3 linked regions of the Oryctolagus cuniculus genome follow. The protein of the gene in region 3 purifies or fractionates together with the protein of the main gene of each other region. This does not show direct contact. Links are inferred from orthologs where the notes say so. Each region holds a gene or a part of one and is shown on either strand. Other genes may lie near its edges. The genes, in order: HES1, FOXG1 and TLE1.

Region 1 (7,682 bases), on a different chromosome or scaffold from region 3:
AGCTACAGCCCCCTGGCAAGGCGTTTAAGGGTCTTGGAGCACGGTGTCCACACACTGGGCTGCAGGCCACAGTCCCTGAGTAAGGCCTGAGAGGTGCTGGTCTCCTCCTCAGCCCCATGACACAGCACATTTCCAATGTGGCAGGCAGGCCTCCCTGTTTTTCAAGGGATAGGCCACCTCCTCCAGGAAGTTTTCCAAGGTGCTCTAATTTACAAGTAATTTAACTCTCAAACAGCCACAGCATTCTGCCTCCATCTAGAAACGAAACCGTGTCTGCAGGACTGGGGCCTCTCAGAGGACTCCACAGGGAAATCCACAAATGTCAGCTGAACTCACAAGCCTTATCTGTCCCGGGGTTGGGAGCTTCCTGCGGGCCATACCCTCTGACTCTTTCCTGTAACACCCCCTCGCTCGGCCCCGCGCCTTGCAGACCAGCTCCAGCCTTGCGGCTGTCCCTACAGGTGTGGTCTGTCCTGCAAGCCCCAAAAGGGGGAATGCAGGCAAGCCCGCAGGGTCAGGGAGCAGAACCTCAGGGTGTGCCCGCCTCCGCCGCTCACAGCCACCTCCGTGCACACTGGCACTGCCTCCCTTGTCGTGGTAATCCAGGGCTTAGCACAGTGTCTGGCACTGAGCGCGCGCTCCCTACTGAACGCGAGGGGCTCGCCCAAGGTCAGTGGAGTCAGGAGCCGCCTAGCCGCACCAGGGGCGGATCTGGGGGAATCATTGACAACCTTATCTCCGCGGGGAGCTCGGGGGGAAGGAAGGAATGAAGTGTCAGAGAAGTGTGTGCCAGGCCTCCCGGACGCGCGAAGGGCGGGGGAGGGGGCGAGGGGGGGCGACATCAGAGGAGGCGCTGGGCTCCCAGGCCGCCCCGAGCCGCAGGCCGAGCTCCTGACGGCGGTGGGGTGGGGACACGGGGCCGGCGACCCGGCCGGCCAGGCAGACTCCGGAGGCGGCGGCCGGCCTGCCGGGGCCGTGCGCGCCGCCCGCCCTGCCCGCGCGGCAAATCCCCCAGGGAGGCCGCCGCCAGAGCCCTGGCGCTCCCGGCCCGGCGCCCGCCACGTGGCACCCGGCGGCGGCGGCGGCGGCTCCTCCCGGCGCGCGGCCCGGCCAGCCGGCAGCACGCAGCCGCCCGCGCCGCCCTCCTCTTCCCGGCCGCCCGCCGGCGGCCTCCCGGGCGCGGAGAGGGGGAGCTGCCCAGCCGCCCGGGACCCGGGGAAGGGGCGGGCCGCACGAAGCCGCCCTAACCGCAGCCGCCGAGCGGAGGCAGGAGGCTGACCCGGCCGCTTCCTCACTGCGGTCAGGCATCTCGTGACCGCGGCGGGCGCCGGGGGCCCCGCGGGAGAGGGCGGGCGGGCGGGGGCGAGGAACGAGCCAGGTGCCCCCCCGCCCCCACCCCGGGGCTGCGGCGAGGGAAGTCTGGGGCCAAGTTAAAGCCCCGAGCCCGAAAAGCAGGGTGGGGGAGGGCTGGAACCATGCCCCGCTCTCCACCCTAGGGCGTGCGCTCCCCGCCCGGAAGGGCTGACCTTGGCCGGGGGAGGGGCGGGGGAGGGTAAGCGCCGGGGCTGGGCTCTCCGCCCGCCGCCCCCTCGGATTCCTGGCCCGGCGGGGCCCGGGGAGGGGGCCCCGGACACACACACACCCCACACGCAGCGCGCGCCAATGAGCCCGGGCCAGGCGCAGGGGGCGGGGTTTTCCCAGGCTCGAGCACAGCAGCTGCTATTTACCTTCTTGGCTTCTCCCGGGGACCAGGAACCGGCCCCCGCTCCCGGCCGCCCGCCGCCGCCTCCCGCCTCCCTGCCCCCGGGGCGCGCGCACACACACTCACACACGCACGCACACACACATCCTCCCGGCCCGGCCGCAGCCGCGGCGGCAATAAAACATCCTGGCACGTGCTCCGGCTCCAGGCGCGCCCTCGCCGGCCGGCTGATGTCAAACTGCAGCTCGGCTGGTGCAGCTCTTAAAGGGCCCGCGAGGGGAGAGGCAGCCTCGCCGCCCGCCTGCCTCGAGGTGCCGCCGCGCCGAGGGCCCGCGGGCGGAAAGGGAGAGGGTGCGGAGGAGCGCGCGCGCGTCCCGGAGCGGCGTTGCCATCAAAGCGCCCCTTGTTCGTTTGTCATTGGCGATTCCATTTCCTTTCTACCCAGTTGGAAATTTTTCTGATTGTTTCCTGGGGCAGCGTGGGGGTCCAGGGCCCCCAACACCAACAGAAGGAAAGAGGGACGGGGTGGTGAAGGTGGGGGGCGTCCAAGAACCACCTTGCCCTGAGAAGCCTGCAAATGAGAAGTGCAAGGTAATTTTATTTTTCCTTCTGGTGCATGCAAAAAGGAATTTGGGGGTGGGTGGGGTTATTTTTCTGCATTATCTACTTTTCACTCTCCTCAGTATACAGAAGCTCGGAGGGAAATCACTTAGATGTTTGGGTAATTCACACCCTTGCACGCTTATGCCGCTTTTAATCACTGATCATGTCTCTCTTTTTTTCTTTGGTCTATACCTTTCTGAAAATATATTTCCAATGAACTTCTTATTACAGTCAAAGCAGTTCTGTGACACATAGAAAAGAGAACAAAGAGCAAAGACATTGGCCCCTTAAAGAAAGAAACTAGTCTAAAACTAAAGCGGAAAAATCCTCTCGAAAGCAAAGCCCAGAGGGGAGAGTAGCAAAGGGTTAAAATTCCTTTGATTGACGTTGTAGCCTCCGGTGCCCTGGGCTCAGGCGCGCGCCATTGGCCGCCAGACCTTGTGCCTGGCGGCCAATGGGGGGGCGCGGTCCACGAGCGGTGCCGCGTGTCTCCTCCTCCCATTGGCTGAAAGTTACTGTGGGAAAGAAAGTTTGGGAAGTTTCACACGAGCCGTTCGCGTGCAGTCCCAGATATATATAGAGGCCGCCAGGGCCTGGGGATCACACAGGATCCGGAGCTGGTGCTGATAACAGCGGAATCCCCCGTCTACCTCTCTCCTTGGTCCTGGAATAGCGCTACCGATCACCCAGTAGCTGCAAAATAGAATAATAAACCCTCGGCACTTGCTCAGTAGTTTTGTGAAAGTCTCAAGAAAAAAGGGACATTAAAATATTATTTTTGGGCGAAGGTCTCCAAAAATAAAAATTCTCTAGGGATTAAAAAAAAAGGAAGGAAAATGCCAGCTGATATAATGGAGAAAAATTCCTCGTCCCCGGTGGCTGCTACCCCAGCCAGTGTCAACACGACACCGGATAAACCAAAGACAGCCTCTGAGCACAGGAAGGTAAGCGCAGTGCCTGTATCTCTAGCCCCAGGAACCAGGTCGGGGGTGGGGGCTCCTTTCCCTCCGGAAACCCCGGGGTGAAGCGGCAGATCCCAGGGGAACTCAGAGTTCTGTCTGATTTCTTTGCAGTCTTCAAAGCCAATCATGGAGAAAAGACGAAGAGCGAGAATAAATGAAAGCCTGAGCCAGCTGAAAACTCTGATTTTGGATGCTCTTAAGAAAGATGTAAGTGGGGGAGAATCCTGCTGCTTTTATTATTATTATTATTATTATTTATTAAGAAGTGCGAAGTACTGTTTCGGAGCCTCCGGGAATGAAATCCCCCTTGCCTGCGAGGCGAGGATCCTAGCCTAGCCCGGCAATGCTGCTTTCTCGCCGGGGTCCACGGCCGGGGAGGCGGGGGGCGGGAGGGCCCCAGCGATCCGAGGCAGCTGACGGGGGGCGGCGGGGGTCTCACTGCCCTGCCTTGCCCTCTGTTGTGCAGAGCTCGCGGCATTCCAAGCTGGAGAAGGCCGATATCCTGGAGATGACCGTGAAGCACCTCCGGAACCTGCAGCGCGCGCAGATGACCGGTGAGGGCGCGGTGAGGGCGGCTCGCGCGTCCCCCTCGGCGGGCGGCCCTCGCACCCGGCGGTGATTCCTTCCAGACTTCCGCCCGCGGTTGTGAGCGGCATTGAGCTACATTTTACTGCCTTGGCTCACGCTCGCGTTCCCACGGTCTGGGTCTTATTTATAGCCGCAACTCCAAGTTGTTACTGTTCCGGAAAGGGAGGGAGAGAGGTGGTAGCCGCGAGGGTGGCGGGCGGCTTGGCTGCGGGGGAAGCGGGCTGGGGCTAAAGGACTGGGAGCCGTGGCGGTTTGGAGCTGTGTGCAGCCTGGGGGTGGAGTGGGGGGGGGGGTCATCTGGTTTAGCGCACTGCTCTCCTCCCCCGCTCCAGAAGGGGAAACCGGCGCGGTTGGTGGATTGAGGGTGGGGGCCGAGTCCCAAGGTCACAGCGCGCGCGGGGCTGGGCCTGAGAGCAGTTTAAATGGAGCGACAGGGAATGGGAAGGCGGTGTCTCGGCTCGGATTGCCACGCTGGTGTGGCGGTGGCGGTGGTGGTGGCGGCTGGTTCCCCTAGAGCCAACCCCCTCCGCCCCTCCCCGCGCCCCAGCCGCAGGCGGTCCGGCGGGCGCGTGGTCGGGGAGGCGCGCCGCAGGGACCTCCCAGGGCGGGAGGCAATGGCCCCGGGGCCAGGGCCGTTCGGTGACCCGTCTGCCTCCTTCTGGCCTACAGCCGCGCTGAGCACAGATCCGAGCGTACTGGGGAAATACCGCGCCGGCTTCAGCGAGTGCATGAACGAGGTGACCCGCTTCCTGTCCACGTGCGAGGGCGTTAACACCGAGGTGCGCACCCGGTTGCTCGGCCACCTGGCCAACTGCATGACCCAGATCAACGCCATGACCTATCCCGGGCAGCCGCACCCCGCCTTGCAGGCGCCGCCGCCGCCCCCGCCTGGCCCCGGCGGCCCCCAGCACGCGCCGTTCGCGCCGCCGCCGCTCGTGCCCATCCCCGGGGGCGCGGCGCCCCCTCCCGGCGGCGCCCCCTGCAAGCTGGGCAGCCAGGCTGGAGAGGCGGCTAAGGTGTTCGGCGGCTTCCAGGTGGTGCCTGCTCCCGACGGCCAGTTTGCCTTCCTCATCCCCAACGGGGCCTTCGCACACAGCGGCCCGGTCATCCCCGTGTACACCAGCAACAACGGGACCTCGGTAGGTCCCAACGCCGTGTCCCCTTCCAGCGGGCCCTCGCTCACGGCCGACTCCATGTGGAGGCCGTGGCGGAACTGAGGGGTTCTGGACACCTCTCCACCCAGACTGCCCTACCCGCTTCTCCACCCTCCGGACATTAAACAGGAACTTGGATACTGGGAGTGAAGAGAACTTTTCTGTGATTGATTTCAGTGGTTACCTTGTTGGTTTTTTTTTAATTTCTAAAAGTTACTTTTTTGTAGAAGAGCTGTATTAAGTGACTGACCATGCACTATATTTGTATATATTTTATATGTTCATATTGGATTGCGCCTTTGTATTATAAAAGTAAAGATGACATTTCGTTTTTTACACGAGATTTCTTTTTTATGTGATGCCAAAGATGTTTGAAACTGCTCTTAAAATATCTTCCTTTGGGGAAGTTTGAGAAAATATAATAAAAGAAAAAGAGTGAAGGTGTTTATGTGTGGGGACTGATTATTTCAGAATATGTAAAAAGGCTCACGGAATTTGAGTTACATGTAATCTGGGAATTCAGGAATTGGCTCTATTGTTATTAAAAGAACAGCATTTTTAAAAATCCACCCAGCCTTTTCACCCACACCACATCAACTACAAAGACCAAATCCCACTTAATTTACAAGCTCTCCTTTGATTCGGCTTCCTTAATAAATTTGGGTGCGAACCTCCTGCAAGATTTCGGAGGTTTCAGAGTTGGCAGTGGGCTGAGCCATACAGCCCTCATCCTGTGAGCTCCTGAGAAGGTTGGACAGGACTGCATTTTCAGGACTGTCATGGAGGCAATGCTGAACTGGCCGCAGCCCCTGGGAGGTCGGCCCCTGCCTTGTCCTGGGAGCAGCTCGCCCACACCCACAGGGCAGCCCTCCTCCTGGAGCCGCCTGCCTTCCAGTGCTGGGGGTCTCCCCTAATCAGCCTGTCCCGAGGTGCAGCCAGACATGCCCTAGCTCCAGCACGCACACGCGTCCAATGCTGCTCTGCCCCCTCTTCAAGCAAGCTGGAAAGGTCAACAGATTCCTTCTGCCAAGGGACAGCTAGTTAGACTCCCAAGTGGAACCCCAGCCCAGATGATTAACGCCACACATGTGTTTCTGATAAGTCTGTGCTGGGCTCTAATAGAGAAAGCATGTGGGGGCTGTGCTGGCAGGCGCACAGGCCATCTTCCCCTTTTAATACAAACAGCAAGCGACCCCTGCGCTTGGTCATGCCCCATTTCCAGGCAAGATGTGGGCTCCAGATAGAAGCAAAAGGGCTGTCTCGGGTTTCAGCTCACATAACCCTCCTTAACAAGTCCTAACTCAAAGCGGACAGCTTTAAACTGTGCCAGGATCTGCAGGGAATTTCTTCCAAATCCCATCACAAAGGCTTGTCAGATTTTGTCAGATTTGGCCAGGTGTTTGACTGCATCCAGGTGTTGGGGAAATGAGAACCACGAGTCCTGCGAGACCAGACACATCAGCCTGCGCTGCGGCTCTGGCGGGCGCGCCCTCCTCCCCCACCCGCCGGCCTCTCTCACCTCCCTCCCAACCCCCTCCGCCCCCTTCTCGGAGAGCGGCTTCTGGGAGGAGGATGAGGCGGGAGAGATCAATCTTTGAAGCTTCCCTAACAAAGATAAAGCCAACGATTTTCTGTCTTGTTTCAAAAGCTTTCCCCTCTCCTCCGCCCGGCGCTGGCCTTTCCCACAGGCCGGCGCGCAGAACAAGCGTCGGGCGGCTCTGTCGCAGGAACCATCGGGCACACAGCGGCAGTCCGCTCCCCCCTCCCCCCAGACACCTTGGGCCCCAGCTTGGGCCCTAGAGGTAGAGGTCTGAAAGCCACTTTTTTTTGCAGTTGGCTGCCACTCGCCTGATTTTGTGTACATGAAAGGTGTCCAACACTCCCTCCGCCAAACACACACACACACACACCCTTCTTTATCATATCACTTTTCCACCTTTTCCCTCTCATTTAAACACAAACATCATAACAATCGCTCCATTCAGGGACCCATCCCAAACCCAAATGCTCCGTGGACGCCTGTCCTCTGGGTGTTCTGTCCTGATAGAAAAAATAGATGGCATGGTCTCATTTTTGCACAACTCCTTCACAGTGATGTCCTTTAAAATTCACAGGAAAAAGAAGAAAAACCCTGTGCCATCTCGATATCGACTCAGTTAACTTTGTCTTTCCTTATGCGAAGGGCAGCCACTGAAAAAGTGCATTTGCATCGATACCCCAAAAAGCACACCCAGTATCTGCCTGGGAAGGGCTAATAAATGCAAGGAAAATAAGTCAGCATTGGTTCTTTCGAAAATAAACAGGGGGTTGAAAACCTCTTCTTTCCCCCCTGCAATTTGGGCAGGGCCCAGTAGACACAGCCTCTATTTCTCTGTGGAACGGGAAGGAGGGTGGAGTCGGATCTTCTGGTTCTGCCCCGGCTGTGCCACTAAAGTCACCTTGTGTCACCTTGGATAAGTCATTTCCCCATCCCTGGGCCGTTTCCATTCCATACAAGGGCTGGATCTGTTTCTGAGACCGTACCTCCTGCCCCCTGGCTGGCTGGCCTAGGGAGCTGGGGAAGAGGCCAAGCTTCAGAGGAGACATCCATCGTGTCTCCCAGGAGGTCCCTCGGGCCTGGTCTAATTATACAGCCTCTGGGCACACCCGGCAGCCCCTCTCCCCGGCCCCCAG
Region 2 (7,442 bases), on a different chromosome or scaffold from region 3:
AATTAGTTACTCAACCTTTTACTTAGGTTTTCTGATTATTTTCTAGAATTATAGCAATTGCGCTGCTTGAAACAATTCAAAAAAGTTTTCATTTTGTTTCATATATCTGCATATATCTGCATACATATGCATACTGCAAGTTAAAACGAAATTATGACTCTGTGTAAGCAAAAGGAATACCTAGATTAAATTATACAGACATACTTAAAAAGTAATCAAATAAATACCTCTGCATTGTAAAAAAAAAAAAGAGGCATTTTACTTCTGCAAATCTAGAATTTCAAACTGCTATAACTTAAAAGTATAAACATTGATCTATAAGTCATTACAACAGGTGATCACTTCAGCAAAATCTATATTGCAACTTCAGCACATCTTTATTAGAACTCTTTCACTGTGCGTAAACAGCCACAAAAATAAATGCTGACTTAGAAAGTATAAATACAAATATTTAAACAAAAAAGTTTGCAGCATTCATAGCGCAAATGGTACCTGAACTGAAGGGCTCTGTGTGTCTATATATATATTACATATGTGTGCATTATAGTCACTTCTATCTAACCATATACACATATATTCATTTATAATTTGCCAAGTGCTATGTACAAGATACCTGAAACAAAATATATATAAAAAGCATTCTTCAATTAACTGAATTTTAAATAAAACAGTGTAAACAGCTATGCACAAAAAATTAAATTATCTTTTTTTTTGCTGTATATCCAAAAAAGTAAAAGATATCAGCTAAAAAGCCTATACTTTGTTTAAAGCTAGCGTTTATTAAATTAGCTTGCTCCTTGCAGATTTTGTCCATAAAGGGAAAAATACTGTTTTCATTTTTAGAGACTTAGTTCAAATCAAAGGAGCAGTTGAAATCTCAAGTTTGGCTGAGAAAAGCCTTTGAATTCCCTACAGTCTTTTTAAAATTAGCTCCACTTAATAAAAGAGACAAAAGTATCAAGATATATATGAATTTAGCCTATTTTTTATTTCTGTGTGTTCATAGTAAACATTTTTGTAAGTGACAAACACGGGCATATGACCACAGTATCACAATCAAGAAATTTTAAGACAACATTAACAATCACTCAAATTTATGCGGCATTTGCGCAACACAGGTTACATATTTGCAAGGTTTACCTATAAGTACAATAGGTATTAACATTTCACTACATTTAGAAAAAAAATAAAAGTGACCTGTTAGTGACCACATACATCAAAATATACACAACACAAACTGAAGGCAATCATTAATTTTGTCCCCTTCCAATTCAATTGAATGGGCAGTGTTGCCAACTGAAACAACTTTCCTTTTTTTTTTTTTTTTTTGCTTGCTTGCTTGTTTGTTTGTTTGTTTGAATACTTAGAATACCAAGTGCATTCTCTATAATCCAATCTTTGGTCTAAAAAGTAAACAAAAGAAAAAAAACAAAAACAGTTCTTTAAAAAAAAAGACAAAACAATAAATGGCCAAAATAATTTCTTGGGTATCTTTACTACCAATGCTTCTTAAATACAAATTACAGCTTAATATTTTAAAACTCTCCCCATTTTTTTTTTTTTTAGGTTGTTTCTCAAGGTCTGCGTCCACCACACAGATCCATGATAACTTATAATACTGCACACATGGAAATCTGGCGGCTCTCAGAGATAGGCTTGTCAGGTTTGAATGAAATGGCAAAGCAGTCACTATTTAGATACACATCCTACTATAATTTTGACTTCCAAACCTTATATTCTACAATGTATTCTTCCCCACATTGCACCTCGCTGACACTCCACACCTTGTTAGAATAATAAACAACCCTAAAGACTGAACAAACGTACAGAAATAGCGGGAGGGGAGGGAGGCGGGGGGGGGGGCGGGGGCTTAATAAAAAATACCTGGACTTATTTTTTTTAATTATCATTTACAATGCAAATGTGTGTAAAACGTTCACTTACAGTCTGGTCCCGGGGATGTTAATGTATTAAAGGGTTGGAGGAAGACCCCTGATTTTGATGTGTGAAATAATCAGACAGTCCCCCGGACAGTCCCGTCGTAAAACTTGGCAAAGAGGGTCTTAAAGACTCACAGGGCAGGGTCGAGGGGGCCTGCGGCGACGTGGAGGAGGACGCGGCCCGGGCGCTCATGGACGTGCTGCTCTGCGAAGTCATTGACGGGTGCGGGACGTGGGGGAAAAAGTAACTGGTCTGGCCCGCCAGCAGGTTGACGGAGCAGGGGTTGAGGGAGTAGGTCCCCGAGCAGGGCACCGACAGGCCGCAGGGCACCGAGGCGGCCAGCGCGGCGGCGGTGAGGTGGTGTGTGGCGTACGGGATCTCCCCGTTGACCAGCCGGTCCACGCTCAGGCCGTTGGCTGTGGAGAACGAGTGGTTGTTGCCCAGCGAGTTCTGAGTCAACACGGAGCTGTAGGGCATGGGGTGGCTGGGGTAGGCCGACGTGGTGCCGTTGTAACTCAAAGTGCTGGAGGCGCGGGGGTGGTGCAGGGACAGGAAGGGCGACATGGGCCAGTAGAGGGAGCCGGCGCGGTCCATGAAGGTGAGGCCGGTGGAGGTGAGGCGCGCCCCGCGCTTGAAGGCCAGCTTGGCCCGCGACGTGGTGGAGCGGCGCCGCAGCTTGCCCGTGGTGCCGCCGATGAACACGTCGTCGCTCGACGGGTCCAGCATCCAGTAGTTGCCCTTGCCCGGGTCGTCGTAGTGGCGCGGCACCTTCACGAAGCACTTGTTGAGGGACAGGTTGTGGCGGATGGAGTTCTGCCAGCCCTGCTTGTTCTCGCGGTAGTAGGGGAAGTTCTTCATGATGAACTCGTAGATGCCGTTGAGCGTGAGCCGCTTCTCGGGGCTCTGCCGGATGGCCATCATGATGAGCGCGTTGTAGCTGAACGGCGGCTTCTCGTACTTGCCGTTCTTCTTCTCGCCCTCCTTGCCCCCCTCCCCGTCCTTGCCGCCCTCGCCCGCCCCCTTCTTCTCCTCCCCCCCGGCGCCGGCGCCCTTCTCCTTCTCGTCCGGCCCGACGGGCGCCAGCTCCCCGGGCCCGCCGCCCGGCTCGCCCTTGCCGCCCAGCCCGTCCGCCTTGGCCCCGTCCAGGGCGGCGGCCGACGGGGGCGGCGGCGGCGGCGGTGGCGGCGGCGGCGGGAGCAGCAGCTGCTGGGGGCCCTTGTCGTCGTCGGCGGCGGCGGCGGAGGCGGCGGCCGGGGCGCCCCGCGCCTGGGGGGCCTGCGGGGCCGGGGGCGGCGGTGGCGGCGGCGGCTGCTGCTGGGGCGGCGGCGGCGGTTGCGGGGCGGGCGGCGGCGGGTGGTGATGGTGGTGGTGGTGGTGGTGGTGGTGCTGGGGGTGGTGGCTGTTGTGGTGGCCGTGGCTCGCGTGGTGGTTGTCGTTCTGGACGGCCTCGGGCACCAGGCTGTTGATGCTGAACGAGGACTTGGGGATCATTTTCACCTCTTTCCTATCTCCCATGTCCAGCATCACCCAGTCGTCGGGGGGAAACGGCGGCGGCGGCGCGGGAGCGGGGCAGCGGCGCGGCGGGCGGAGGCGACCGGTGGGTGCCGAGCGGGGCGCGGGGGGCGCGGGCGGCGGCGGCGGCACTGAGCGCTCCGGCAGCAGCGCAGTTGGACCGCAGGCTCGGGCGCTGGCAAGTCATGTAGCAAAAAGCAGCAACCACCCCTCAGGAATTAGAAAAAAAAAAGGGGGGGGGGAGGGAAAAAAAAAAAGAAAGAAAGAGGGAAAAAAAAAAAGAAACAACCACCGCCCCGGGGGTGAAGCTCCCTCGCTCCCAACTCTACTTCTCGGTCTCCCCCCCACCCCCCGCTCCCCCCCCCCTCGCTGCTTCCTCCTCCTCCTCCTCCTCTCGCAGCAGCAGTCACAGCAGCAGCAGCAGCAGCCCAAAGGGGGGGAGAGCCGGGCGGCGGGCGGGCGGGCGCGTCCCGGAGCGGCCGCGGCGAGGCTTTAGGGAGACAGCGATCGAGGCGGCTATAGCCACAATTAATTTTCCGAGCTACAGGCGCACACTAGGGCTGTAAAAAAATTTTTGGTTTAACCTTTCCTACCGCCGGGCCAATCAGAGCCGGCGGCGTGCGGGAGCGTCTCCCTCGCCGTCGACCAATCGCCGGGGCCCGGGCCCACCCACCCCGGGGCCCCGCCCGCCGGCTCCCGCCCCCTCGGGCGCTCGCCTCCCCCTCGCCACGGGCCTGGGACCCGGCGGCCGCGCGGAGCCGCGCACGGAGCCGCCGGCGGGACCACGCAGCGCCGCGGCCTGCCCGCGCCCCCGCGCCCCCGCGCCGCGCCGCAGTCCCCTCCAAGGGCCCACGGCTCGCGTTTCCGGCTTACTCCTCCTCCTCCTCTTTGTACTGGGTCATTTTCGATTGAGCGTCAATATTTGTCCTTATTGATTAAAGTTTGTATCCGGTTTTATTTTGGGGGGGGGAAGCGGGGGCGGCGGTGGAGGAAAGGGTGGGCGCGCAGTGGAGAGGATGCGAGGAGAGGGCAGGAAATGAAGGAGGAAGAGGCAGGCGAGGCCCTACTCGTCCCCCTCCTCGGCCCTGCAGGCCCGGGGCTGGCGTTGGCGGGCCCGTGGGGGGAACTGTGCCCCGCGTAGGCCACGCTTCCCGCGAAGCCTCGCGTCGGCGGGGCGGGAAGGCCCACCCCCGGTGTGGGCGTGGGTGTCCTGCACCTTGCGGGAGGAGGGCCGGGGGGCGACGTTTGGAAAGGACGGGGTGAGGAGGAGGCCGTGGGCAGAAGAACGCGGGGACGAGCGAGGGTTACTTACTCGGTTCCAGCGGCCAGGGCGGCGGCGGGCTCCAGGCTCGGGGGAAGCGGGGCCTGGGGCTCCGAGCGCGGCGGCGGCGGCGGGCGGGGGCGGCTCAGTGGTGGGTGCCTCTGATGGCCTTCCGGACAGAGAGGTGCCCACAGTGCCAAACAGTCTCGAAATAAAGCAGGTAACCCATGCTCTCTGCCCGCGCGCGTCTCCCTTCGCCGTCTCCGCGGCCGCAGACCGTGGCTCTGGCGGGGTGAGTCGGTGCCGCGCGCGCTCCTCGCCGCTGCAGCTCCTGCTCTCAGTCGCGAATCCGAATCGGAAGCGGGGAGCCGTGAGCGATCACCCTGGAGATATTTTCATTTTTGCTTGTGGACCCAGGAGGGAAGATTACGGTGGGCGTCTGTTGCATTCCGGGTTTTTTTTTTTTTTTTTTAATCCCCTCCTGAAGCTTCCCTGCGTCCACTCCTCCTTTTTCCTTTCTTTCTCTTCGTTTCTCAAATGCGTGTAATTTGTGAGGGCCTCGACCCTGAGATGTCAGTATTCCGCAGCCAGCCCCTACCCACCCTGACTGCTGCCTGGAAGGCACTGGGCTCTCGGGGAACGGGGATGCGTAAGCCCAGCTTCTGGGGCTCTGGCACTGGGGAGGTTGGAGTGAGTGGGAAGATTGCGATCTGGGGACTTTAAAAGGATCCCGTGGCCAGGGGCAGGGCTAAGGCCCAGCATTTCCCAGGGATTGGAATTTAGCGCGGAGCACACTGATCAAAGGCTGTTCCATCCCACACGGGCACGAAACATAACCACATTTTACGGAGGATGTAGCCTGAGAGAAGAGGGCGGTGGAAGAGAAGCCTAAGTGGTGGTGGTGAGGGGGGGAAGCACCTTTCCCCCTTCCTCTGTAAGGTAAATCATCATCATACAATATAAGCGGTTTTTTTTTTTTTCCCCACCCTCCTCACTTTGGAAAACTCGCAGTGAAATGAGCTAGCTGGCAGATCTGGTGTTTGAGAAGGGAAAGTGGCGCCTAGGAGCGAAGTTAAATTATGACATAAAGAATGGAATTGCTGCGAGCTCAGGATGGTGGTAGGGGCTCTTCCACTTTGCCCATCCCCAACCCCGAAGTTCTCAGGGAGAATACCAGGCCGTGACCGGCAGCTAGCTCGGGAGTTTTAAATACGCATCCATCATGGATGTCACCAGGGAGCTGCGAATATCGGACGACCCTCAGCCTCCCACTACACGTAGGCTCCTGTGTCCTTGCCTCCGTCCACGCACGGTCTGCACCCGGGAGGCATTCGAGGGTTCCAGCCACCAAACGCTGGCGGCGACACGGCCCCAGAAGCCGGCACCCGAGCTCGGGCTTACTTGCCGAGCTGGAGGAGCCCGCGGGCTTCGCGAAGAGGCTGCACAGCTCCGTGGGCCTTTCCCTCCCCGCTCGCTTCTCCTCCTCCCACTCCTCTCCCCTCCTGCAGGCCAGTGCTCGCTACTTTTCCTCAACTCCCTCGCCTCCCTCCCCCCCGTCTCCACTCCCTCCTTCCCCCTGCCCGCCCCACCGCTCCCCCCGCCCTCCGTTTCTCTCGCGCTTCCCGTTCCTCCACCTACTCCTCCCCGGGTCTGCCCCCGTGGCCCCCCTTCTCACCGCCACTTAGAATGGCACACAGGGCTCCCTCTGAGGTGGACGGCCCGGTACGTTTTCGTAGTCGGTCTAGCGTGAAATGATTCGGTGTAACCGGATTCTTGGGAAAGGACAGGTTACGTAAACATTTACTGATGTGGAGTAACTATACTATTTGTACTCTGATATGCAGGAAGGAAAGTGTTGATTAACACAGAAGAAAAAAAAAAGCGAAATTAGCTGATTGCATGCTCATAAGTGCAAGCTGTCATTGAACTGCTTTTAAAATAGACACAGCTGGGTGTTTGTGTTGAAAAATTTCTTGTGTTTTTGCTAATACTGAAATAAGCATGATTTTGTATACCAAACATTTTCAGATCATTAAAATTTGTAATCTGTGCTGGTTTTAAACACAAAGAAAAGAAACAGAATCATTTCGATGTAAAATTTGCTGATATTATATTAACTCAATCAGGTCTGTACAAATTGTGCATTGTGCCTCCTAAAATCTGTTTGATCAATTTAATACACAAAGTGCCAAACGTGGGTATTGTTTGTTAACATTGGACATTTTATTCAAATCCAAGCTCAGCAGCAAACTGGAGGAGCATTCCTTGAATACAACACCAGCTCTGACTGATGAATTTTTAATGTTTTAAGGTGTTTCTTAGGTCAGAGCTGAGTGTGCATTGTTTAAAATTTTAGTAGGTGAAAATAAGTTTTTCTTCTGTATATTTTCAGATGGCAAAAATTGGGCTTTGCTAATGAGAGCTGTAATAATCTGATTTTCTATGCCAGAAGCTCATATTGACTGGGAAAATGTTTCACATGCAAATTGAGAATGTGTTATATTATTTCAAGGATTGCATGAATGCAAGTCTCCCAAAATAGGATATTTGTATAGGAATAACTAGTATAGAGTTGAATATAATAATATTTAAAAATCTTTTCTCCCCAATTATAATGATTATTTACAACTTTGGAAGAAGTTGTGTGTGTATGTATATGTATATACATGTGTGTGTGTGTTCCACACAGCATGTAGTGTTTACTTAGCGGCCCACGGTTGTGTCAGCA
Region 3 (7,663 bases):
CAGAATTCAACTCTGAAACACACTTGCTTAATGAAAGTCTTTGAATATAAGGAAGATCTGAAGGCTGAACTAATCAATTTCTCCACTGTGCCCCAGCCGGTCAGCCATGCTCTTTAATTTAATGAAACAAGGGTTTGAGATGAAATAGCACATATACATCAAGTAAGAACTGTATTGTTGCACTTTGAAATGTGTCCAACTGTGCAACTTCATCTGATGATAATTTTTTAAGAGGCAATCGATTTCTAAAAGACGTATTGTACCAGCGTCTTGATGAAAAAGTGAATGTCAGCATATCTCCAGAATACTTACACCCTGCCATTAATGCTTTCTTTGGCAGACAATGACTACTCAATCGAGGGTCCTTTGGGCTGAGCAATCATTTAGCTTTTCTTCTCTTATGAGGTCCTTAGTGCCTTGTTCCAGCTCAATACTCTTTTTATACACCATTATAGTAGCCATAAGTGTGAATTTTATGGGAACTTGCAAACTCATAGTCATAGCTAGGGCTTTCCAGTCACTAATCTTTTCATGCTTTTAAAACCACTAGGACTGAAGCAATTTCCAACATATGCTGTGGCCACAAAAGGATGCCTTTTTTTTTTTAACCTCCAAACCTGCTTCAACTGACAAGTTTTTTAAAAACATGTTTGCTAATAAGCCATTAATCCTGAGTCTCGCTTACACAGCCCAGAAGCACAGAGTACTCTAGTCAATCACTCAGCTTGCTGAACCTGATCACAGAAACCCTTGAACATGCCCTTTCCCCCAAAGGTGCGCACTTCCTTCCAAAGAGCACAAGCGCAGGCACTGTTCTGAATGTTAGCAGTTCTACAGGATCCTGACATCTTTTCAGAGGACAATAAATCTATCCAGGTAGAAAACTAAATTCAGTCTCAATTTCTCTGCTGCCTAAAAATGGCTAATTCACATTTCCAAAACAGCTAGTCCTGTAAGCACTCTACCCTTGCTGCAGACACTACCACCAACTCACAAGAAAGGCAACCAAGGCCAAAACTGTCATGCAAACTCCCAGGTCCATGACCCACTACTGGGGACTAAGCCAGTATTACAAAATGGTATGAGCTGATTTCTTGTTTCGGCTTAAGATTTATCTAAAGCTTACCTGTTTATGCATTTCAATGTTTAATCCATATGACATTTCATAATACTGTAAAGAGAAGAAAGAACCAGACATTTCATTAACTCACATTTTTTGATGCGAAGAACACATATTTGCTAATATTACATGAAAAAGAACTCCAATCTTTGATACCTACCATCACATAGTGTCTCTGCATTTCTGTCTTTTCACTTGCCAGTTTCTCACATTCCAATTTAAGGCTATGAAAACAAAACAGGCAACTTAATGTAAACATTATGTCACTTGTTTTAACATCTGCCTCACATATTTGCACTTCAAGTAAAAACACAGACCAATTTGGAAAAGCCATAAACTATCTAGGTAAACACCCAAAAGCTTTGTCTCTGTACTTAACAGGAAAAAGGAATGAGGTGAGCAGTACAGAGTATCCCTCAGCCTTTTGCTTCTTCTCTTTGGTGTACACTTGTCAGCTGATCCCTCCTCATGGTCATCTGTGCCCCGTTTCCGGCATCAGAGTCTGTTTCTCTGAACCCCACCAAAATCCAGCCTTTGCACACTTCTGTCCCAGCCTTAGGCCGCACCATCTTTGTCTCCAGGTTTCAAAGTCATACCTGCCAAGTTAGTTCTACAATGGCTGGTCCCTTTCAAAACCGATGGTTTTTAAATTCCTGCCAAAACATGCCAAGCGGGTACTGCCATAAAATGGGCTGAAGTTCTCCCTCATGAGTAAACACGGTATGCACAAGGATGCCTCAAGCCCTAGATACACCACTTATAAGTAGAATAGCGGCCTGATAGAGTAAGAAAATTCACACCCAAATCACCTACCCTCATCTCGAGCAAGAGGAAGCTAAAAATTGCCACTACAGCAATTTCTTAGCTTCAATCAGCCTTAACCTCCCAAGGAGCCAGGGAAAGAAACTAACCTTTCTGAAATACCCACTGTGAACAATCAGTGACTTTACAGATAGCTTTCAGTTATAAATTCCTTGCAGATGGGTATCTTTACATGAAGAAACTGAGGCCGAGATGAAGGCTAACTCCACTCAAATCAATCAATTCAGAAGGAAGCCGAAGTGGATGAACTCTCCCCTAACACTCCCCACCTTGTCCCTCTCATCACCAAGGATGGACATAACTAAAAGCCAACTAGCCTCCTTCCCTAATGGACTTTGCCTCAGACAACCCAATTTTCTAGTACGGCAAACAGCGATTTCAACATGGCTTTTGCTTCCCTGAACCCGCACTCCAGGGCTTGAAGGATTGATTGAACCAATGTTTCAGCTCAGCCTGTTGCAAAATAAATACCTGAAGTGCAAATATTGACAGTTCTCATGCAACTCCTAAATACACCAAAAAGGACTCCTTGGAACAGCAGCAAGCCCGCAAGAGGGAAACAATGGGAGGAGGGAGGAGGAGACAGAAGCAGAGCCGGCCCGGGAAGAGCCGGGAAAGGGGGTACCGTGAATGACAGGTCTGAACTGCGACTCCACACGCCACCGCCTGGACGCAAGCACTCAATACAGCCAACGCCACCACCGGGCTGGGCGACCGAGGGGCTAAGGGGCCGCCCGCTCAGCCGGACACGCACCTGTGATACTGCGCCTGCAGGAACTGGAATTCCTCCTTAATCCTGTCCAGGGACTCAGGGATAGTGAACTTGAAGGGTTGGCCTGCAGCCTGGTGCGGCGTCTGGGGGCGATCGGCGATGGGCACCGAGGGACGGGGATGCGGGCGGGCAGACGGATAAAGTCAGGAGAGGCAAGAACGGGTGGGACATAAACAAAAAAGTTAGAGACGGCAGAAAACGGAGACCCAAACTCAAGTCTGAGCTTCACTTTGGGGAGGGGGGAAACGGACCCCCCCACACACTCCCAACCCCCAGCTTCTAAAAAGGCTCGGAAGCTCTTTCGGCCTCCTGGGCAGATCTCGCCAAGTGCTCCCGGGTCAACCCGCCCGAGTAGAGAGGACTGCCTGGCGACCTGGGGGGTGCGGCGTGCGGGGACCAGACCAGAACGTCGTCGTCGTCGCCCCCTCCCCCACGGGGGCGACAATGACCCCGGGGACCGGAGGAGAAAAACAACTCCCTTAAGTCCTCCATTCCCAGAGTCGCCAGGGCCACCTCCGGACGCACCGGAACGGGGGCCGCATTGACATGTAAATAGGCGAGACGAGAAACAAAGGGGGGCCGCCAAACCCGCCTCGGGGAAAAGCGCAGGATGTGGCTGGGGAGAGAAACCCCAGCCTCCCCCAGCGCTCGCGTCCGCCCGGTCTAGACGTCAACTAGGAAGGGGCCCCAGAGGGGAAGGGGGTGGGGTGGGGTGGGGGACTTGAGTTTCAGCTCACTCGCCACCCCACGGAGGGAGGGACCAGGAGCCCCTGGCCTCGCGCCGCCGGGTGCCGGGGGTGTACGACAGCCGCCCACGACCCTACTGCACAAGACCGAGTCTCCCAAGCCCCGCGCGCCTGCCCCCACCCACCCGGCCGCGCCTCACCGGGTGCCGGCTCTGCGGGAACATTGCTCTTCTGGCGGCGGCCGCAGCTCTGTTCCCGGGCAACTCAATTCTCCGCTCAATTTCCAACTTTAATCCCGCCGAGGACAATTCAGCCGGGCAGAAGCGGGGAGCGCGCTGGCCACGCACGCAGGCGCGCTCGGCGAGACGCACCGGCCACTCGGCGCCCGCGGCTGCTGCTGCTCCCGCCGGTGCGGGCTCCCGCCCTCAGGGCCACATCTCGGGACGCCCCGGGCCCAGCTGCTCCAAGGACCTGCGCGGCGCCGCCGGCGCCGGGGGGAGAGCGCACAGCGACTGTGCTCCAACCCGCGGGCCTCAGACGCCCGGGGCGGTGAGGTGGAGACGCGGCGACTCGGGCTGCGCTCCCCTTGGGCGATCCGCGTGCGCGGCGCCCGTCGCGGGCAAACAAATCCAGGCGGGCTGCTTTCCTTCGCTCTTCTCCTGCTCGGTCTCCTCGCAGGGGCGGGCGAGGTGCAGGTGGCGCGGCGCCCCCGGCTCACCTCTCACACACACACACACACACACACAAGGAGCGGCGGCGCTCCGGGCCGACCCCCGCCGGTCCCGGCTGCGCCCCGGAGTCGGGCGCTCTTCGTGGGAGGCAGTAGGGAGCGATCTCAGAGCCGAAGCGGAGGCTCCGAGCCCGGTGGTCCGAAGCCTCAGCCCGGACCGGGCAGCAAGGGATGACGAGGCGGGGAAAGTGCGGAGGGCGCGCCGTGAGGCGGCTCGGCACGCCCCGCGCAACCGGCAATCGGTGTTCTCCGCGGTTGCACAAACCCTCCTGGCCCGACAGAGCTACTCCACGGAGGGCAGTCCCGGAGCCACCCGCTGCTCCTCCAGCCCGGGGCGCATCAGGGCGCCGCAGCCCATGCGTACTCGCCCCGCACGGCCGCTCCGGACCCTTCTTCTTCGGCCCTCTTCCTTTCCTTCCCCTCGTCTGCCTCTCCGTGAAGGGCGCTCCAGCCCGCTGCAAAGTTCCCTCACGACCCGAGGAACGACATCCACGAGACGGTGGGGAGAAGAGCAGGAGTGCGCTCCGCCGCTCGGCCTCCCGCCCCGGCGGGCAAACTCCGCCGACGAGTCCGAGTAATCCCGGCGGGGCTCGGGTCTCCGCGCGCGGGCCAGCGGAGGTCCGAGCTGAGGGCTCGGGTCTCGCCCGGCCGTGCGAGGGCAGGGGGGGTGGCGCGATCGGTTGCCTCGGGGACGTGGGCACAGGGTACCCGCCGCCGCCGCCGCCGCCGCCGCTGCTCCTACAGCCGCCGCCGCCCGCGCCTCTCGCACCGGTTACATTAACACGCGGTTTCACACTCCGGAGCTAACCAGCGCCGGCCCCGCCCAGCCCCGCGCGGGCGGGGGCCGCGAGCTCGGAGCCGGCGGGGGACGTGGGCCCGGGAGGCTGCCGGGGGAGTAGGGGGGCCCGCATCAACCAATCGCGTTCGCCGCGCCCAACGTGGGGCACTGACGCCACGCCTCCCTCGAGCCTATGGCGGCGCCGCGCCGGACTGGCCGTGCCTCCCGCTCCCCCTGCGCCCTCCCCGCTCGCTTCCATCTCCGCCGTCTCCCCCGTCTCCCCTCCCACCCCCTCCGCCCCTCCTCCGCCAGCCGCGTCCTCCCGGGCTCGGGGAGGAACTGTTCCTGGAGGAGCCGCGGGACTCCAAAAGCAGCCAATGAGAGGCGGCGCGACGCGGAGATTGGCACGAAGGATGGGAAGGTCGGTGGGAAGGAGAGCGGCGGGGCCGGGCTGTCAATCAAAGTAACGTGGGCCCGGCTGGGGAGCGCGCGGGCGCGCGCTGGCGGGAGGGACCCGTGAGCGTGCTGCGGCGGAAGCCGGGGGCTTGAGTTTGCCGAAATCCTGCCACTTGTTCACTTTGCGCTCTAGTGCGAATCTTGTGGGCTCAGTAAAAGTAACTCGGGGGCTCACGGCGTAGTCTCGCCTTGGGGGCGGGAGGGAGGGGTTTTTTTGGTCATGCGAGCAAAATGGTTTTTTGTGTGGTGGCCTCTTGTCTGATGCTGCTCCTTGAAAGCGAGGTCACATTCAGAAATTCCTCAGAGCGTAGTCCTTTCTTGAGCCGCCTCTCCCCGGTGCACAGGAGTGGGCTGTACACTTGGCGGAAAACGCATAAATGAGCAAAGCTTAGTCGGCGTGGGTCTGCCCGCCGCCGGAGCCCCGACTGCGACGCCCGCGGCCACCTCCGCCCTCCCCGTGCGCCCAGCGTGGTGGGATTTGGCCTTTATTGAAGGATTCCGGGCCACTTTGTCGAAAGGTCGGCCTGCCTGCGTTTGGCGGGCGGGATACCTAAGGTGCCGCCGGCGTGAGGGCACGCGCGTCTCGTGCGCTGAGGGGATGGCTTTGCCCGCGGCGCGAAATCCCGGGTTTTGTTTTTTCTCTCAGGAGTCCTCTGGCGGGGGAGAGGGTGGCTGTGGGGGTCTTAGGAGCCGCTCCTCAACCAGACCAGGAATCTTTCCAATTCCTGGAAACAGAGGGACAGACCAGCATCGGGACCTGAAAAACCTGTCGGGCCCAGCCCATCCCGTGGCCTGGGTGCTGCTCGTGGCCGAGCCGTAGACTCTACGGCTAAATGACGTGGCCTGGGCTGTTAGAGGGGCAGCTGGGGATGCAAGGGACTTGGAGCTTTTACAGGAACGAGAGGTGCTCCGTATTTAGTATTGTGAGTCCGCTGTTTTTGTCTTTCTCGAAATACACCACACAGCAGAAGACCTTCAGTACTGCCGCAATGATACCTTTCTGCTTACATATATGTACTTTTCTTTAAAGAACAGTTCAGTGAAACTGTTTCCACGTCATGAGCAGTGAGTGAATAATGCTCTTCTAGCCAAATGATGGTAACGTCTTCCACGAGGCGGGCAAATCACCGACAAGTGTTACTGTTTCCTTGGAACCTAGATATTGGTGTTAGAAACCACGCGTTCCCGTTATTTTACCTTCGAGAAACTTAGGGGAACGAGTTTATTTAAGCACATATACGTTTTATTCAAAGATTTGCTTTTTACAGAGATCTTTTTGTTGAAATATTAAAAGAGTCATTTTAGCTAATACATTTCACTGGCGTTTTTTAAATATGTATGATATTGATTTGTCTATAATTGCATCAATCCCTAATATCAATTATAAATGAAAAATAAAAGAGCTATTTCAGCCAGCCTGTGCAAGGCCATAGTATGCTCTTAAACAAGTTCAGGGTTCTAGCTCTGCAGTTTTCTGAAGCGGAGTTGAGAAAGGGGCTATACTGGTCTTGTTAACATGGAGAATGAAAAGGAAGTCCTGCCTCTCTTTCCTTAGTTAAATGTGGTGATGATGAAAGCAGGCTTGCTCCACGTGTAGGACCTAAAGAAATTATGATTCATGGTCGACTAAACTTTCTCCTTTGGCTTCCTGTGTTTGTGAAATCATCATCTAGTGATTGGGCTATACACGCCAATCTGTGGTCCGTTCAAACCGTAGGACTAGGTGGAAAAATGCTTGGGTGCACGAAGTATGCTTGTGCACATGCAGGGATACCTGGGGTAGCTCTCCCTGGCTTCCCCAAACTTTACCTGGTAGGATGTATCTTGATCAACTGGAGCATACTGCTAATTAACCAGAAAACTTAAAACATAATATTTGGGGACAGGAGTGAACCATTTCTAATGGGTTGTTGCTGAATGTTCTCTGATAAAACTGATCACAGAAAATGTTTCTGCACATTATTTCCCAGTTTGCTATGAATAAAAACTGAAAATTTTCTTTCAACTAGTGCTTCTGTACCAGTAGTTTAGAGCCAGGCCAGGCCTGTGGTTTTCTTATAATGTGTAGTATTAGGAGAAAAGAAAGAGCATAATGGTTTTTGAACCAGACGCCTTTAATTGAGTGCATAGAAGTGGTTGGTTTTCTAAGGCTTCTTTCTCATTCAGAGCATCCTCCTTGAGAGCTGGAGAAGCCTCTGCCCTTTTTCAAGGTCGTATTTTCTCCAGGATTGTCATGCTGTAATAATTATACTACAAAACTCTCATCAAACTGCATTACAAATGATGGTGTTTAAACAAT

What was found.
Region 1: the proteins of TLE1 (region 3) and HES1 purify together in Homo sapiens (affinity purification with western blotting; 4 studies listed by BioGRID and IntAct, with this or other methods). This does not show direct contact. The link is inferred for Oryctolagus cuniculus from reciprocal best matches to the Homo sapiens genes TLE1 and HES1.
Region 2: the proteins of TLE1 (region 3) and FOXG1 purify together in Homo sapiens (affinity purification with western blotting; 3 studies listed by BioGRID and IntAct, with this or other methods). This does not show direct contact. The link is inferred for Oryctolagus cuniculus from reciprocal best matches to the Homo sapiens genes TLE1 and FOXG1.

What each region holds. Positions count from the first base shown.
Region 1 is NC_091435.1:85,314,317-85,321,998, reverse strand, and holds HES1 (transcription factor HES-1), read left to right. Parts: upstream 1-2,867; 5' UTR 2,868-3,141; coding exon 3,142-3,249; intron 3,250-3,378; coding exon 3,379-3,474; intron 3,475-3,733; coding exon 3,734-3,821; intron 3,822-4,524; coding exon 4,525-5,072; 3' UTR 5,073-5,453; downstream 5,454-7,682. UniProt on the Homo sapiens protein: Transcriptional repressor of genes that require a bHLH protein for their transcription. May act as a negative regulator of myogenesis by inhibiting the functions of MYOD1 and ASH1.
Region 2 is NC_091443.1:46,590,930-46,598,371, forward strand, and holds FOXG1 (forkhead box protein G1), read right to left. Parts: upstream 4,901-7,442; 5' UTR 4,766-4,900; intron 3,629-4,765; 5' UTR 3,466-3,628; coding exon 1,963-3,465; 3' UTR 355-1,962; downstream 1-354. UniProt on the Homo sapiens protein: Transcription repression factor which plays an important role in the establishment of the regional subdivision of the developing brain and in the development of the telencephalon.
Region 3 is NC_091432.1:148,537,467-148,545,129, reverse strand, and holds the start of TLE1 (transducin-like enhancer protein 1), read right to left. Parts: upstream 3,982-7,663; 5' UTR 3,625-3,981; coding exon 3,601-3,624; intron 2,798-3,600; coding exon 2,697-2,797; intron 1,345-2,696; coding exon 1,281-1,344; intron 1,172-1,280; coding exon 1,127-1,171; intron 1-1,126. Other genes in the region: uncharacterized protein, read left to right, coding at 5,102-5,329. UniProt on the Homo sapiens protein: Transcriptional corepressor that binds to a number of transcription factors. Inhibits NF-kappa-B-regulated gene expression. Inhibits the transcriptional activation mediated by FOXA2, and by CTNNB1 and TCF family members in Wnt signaling.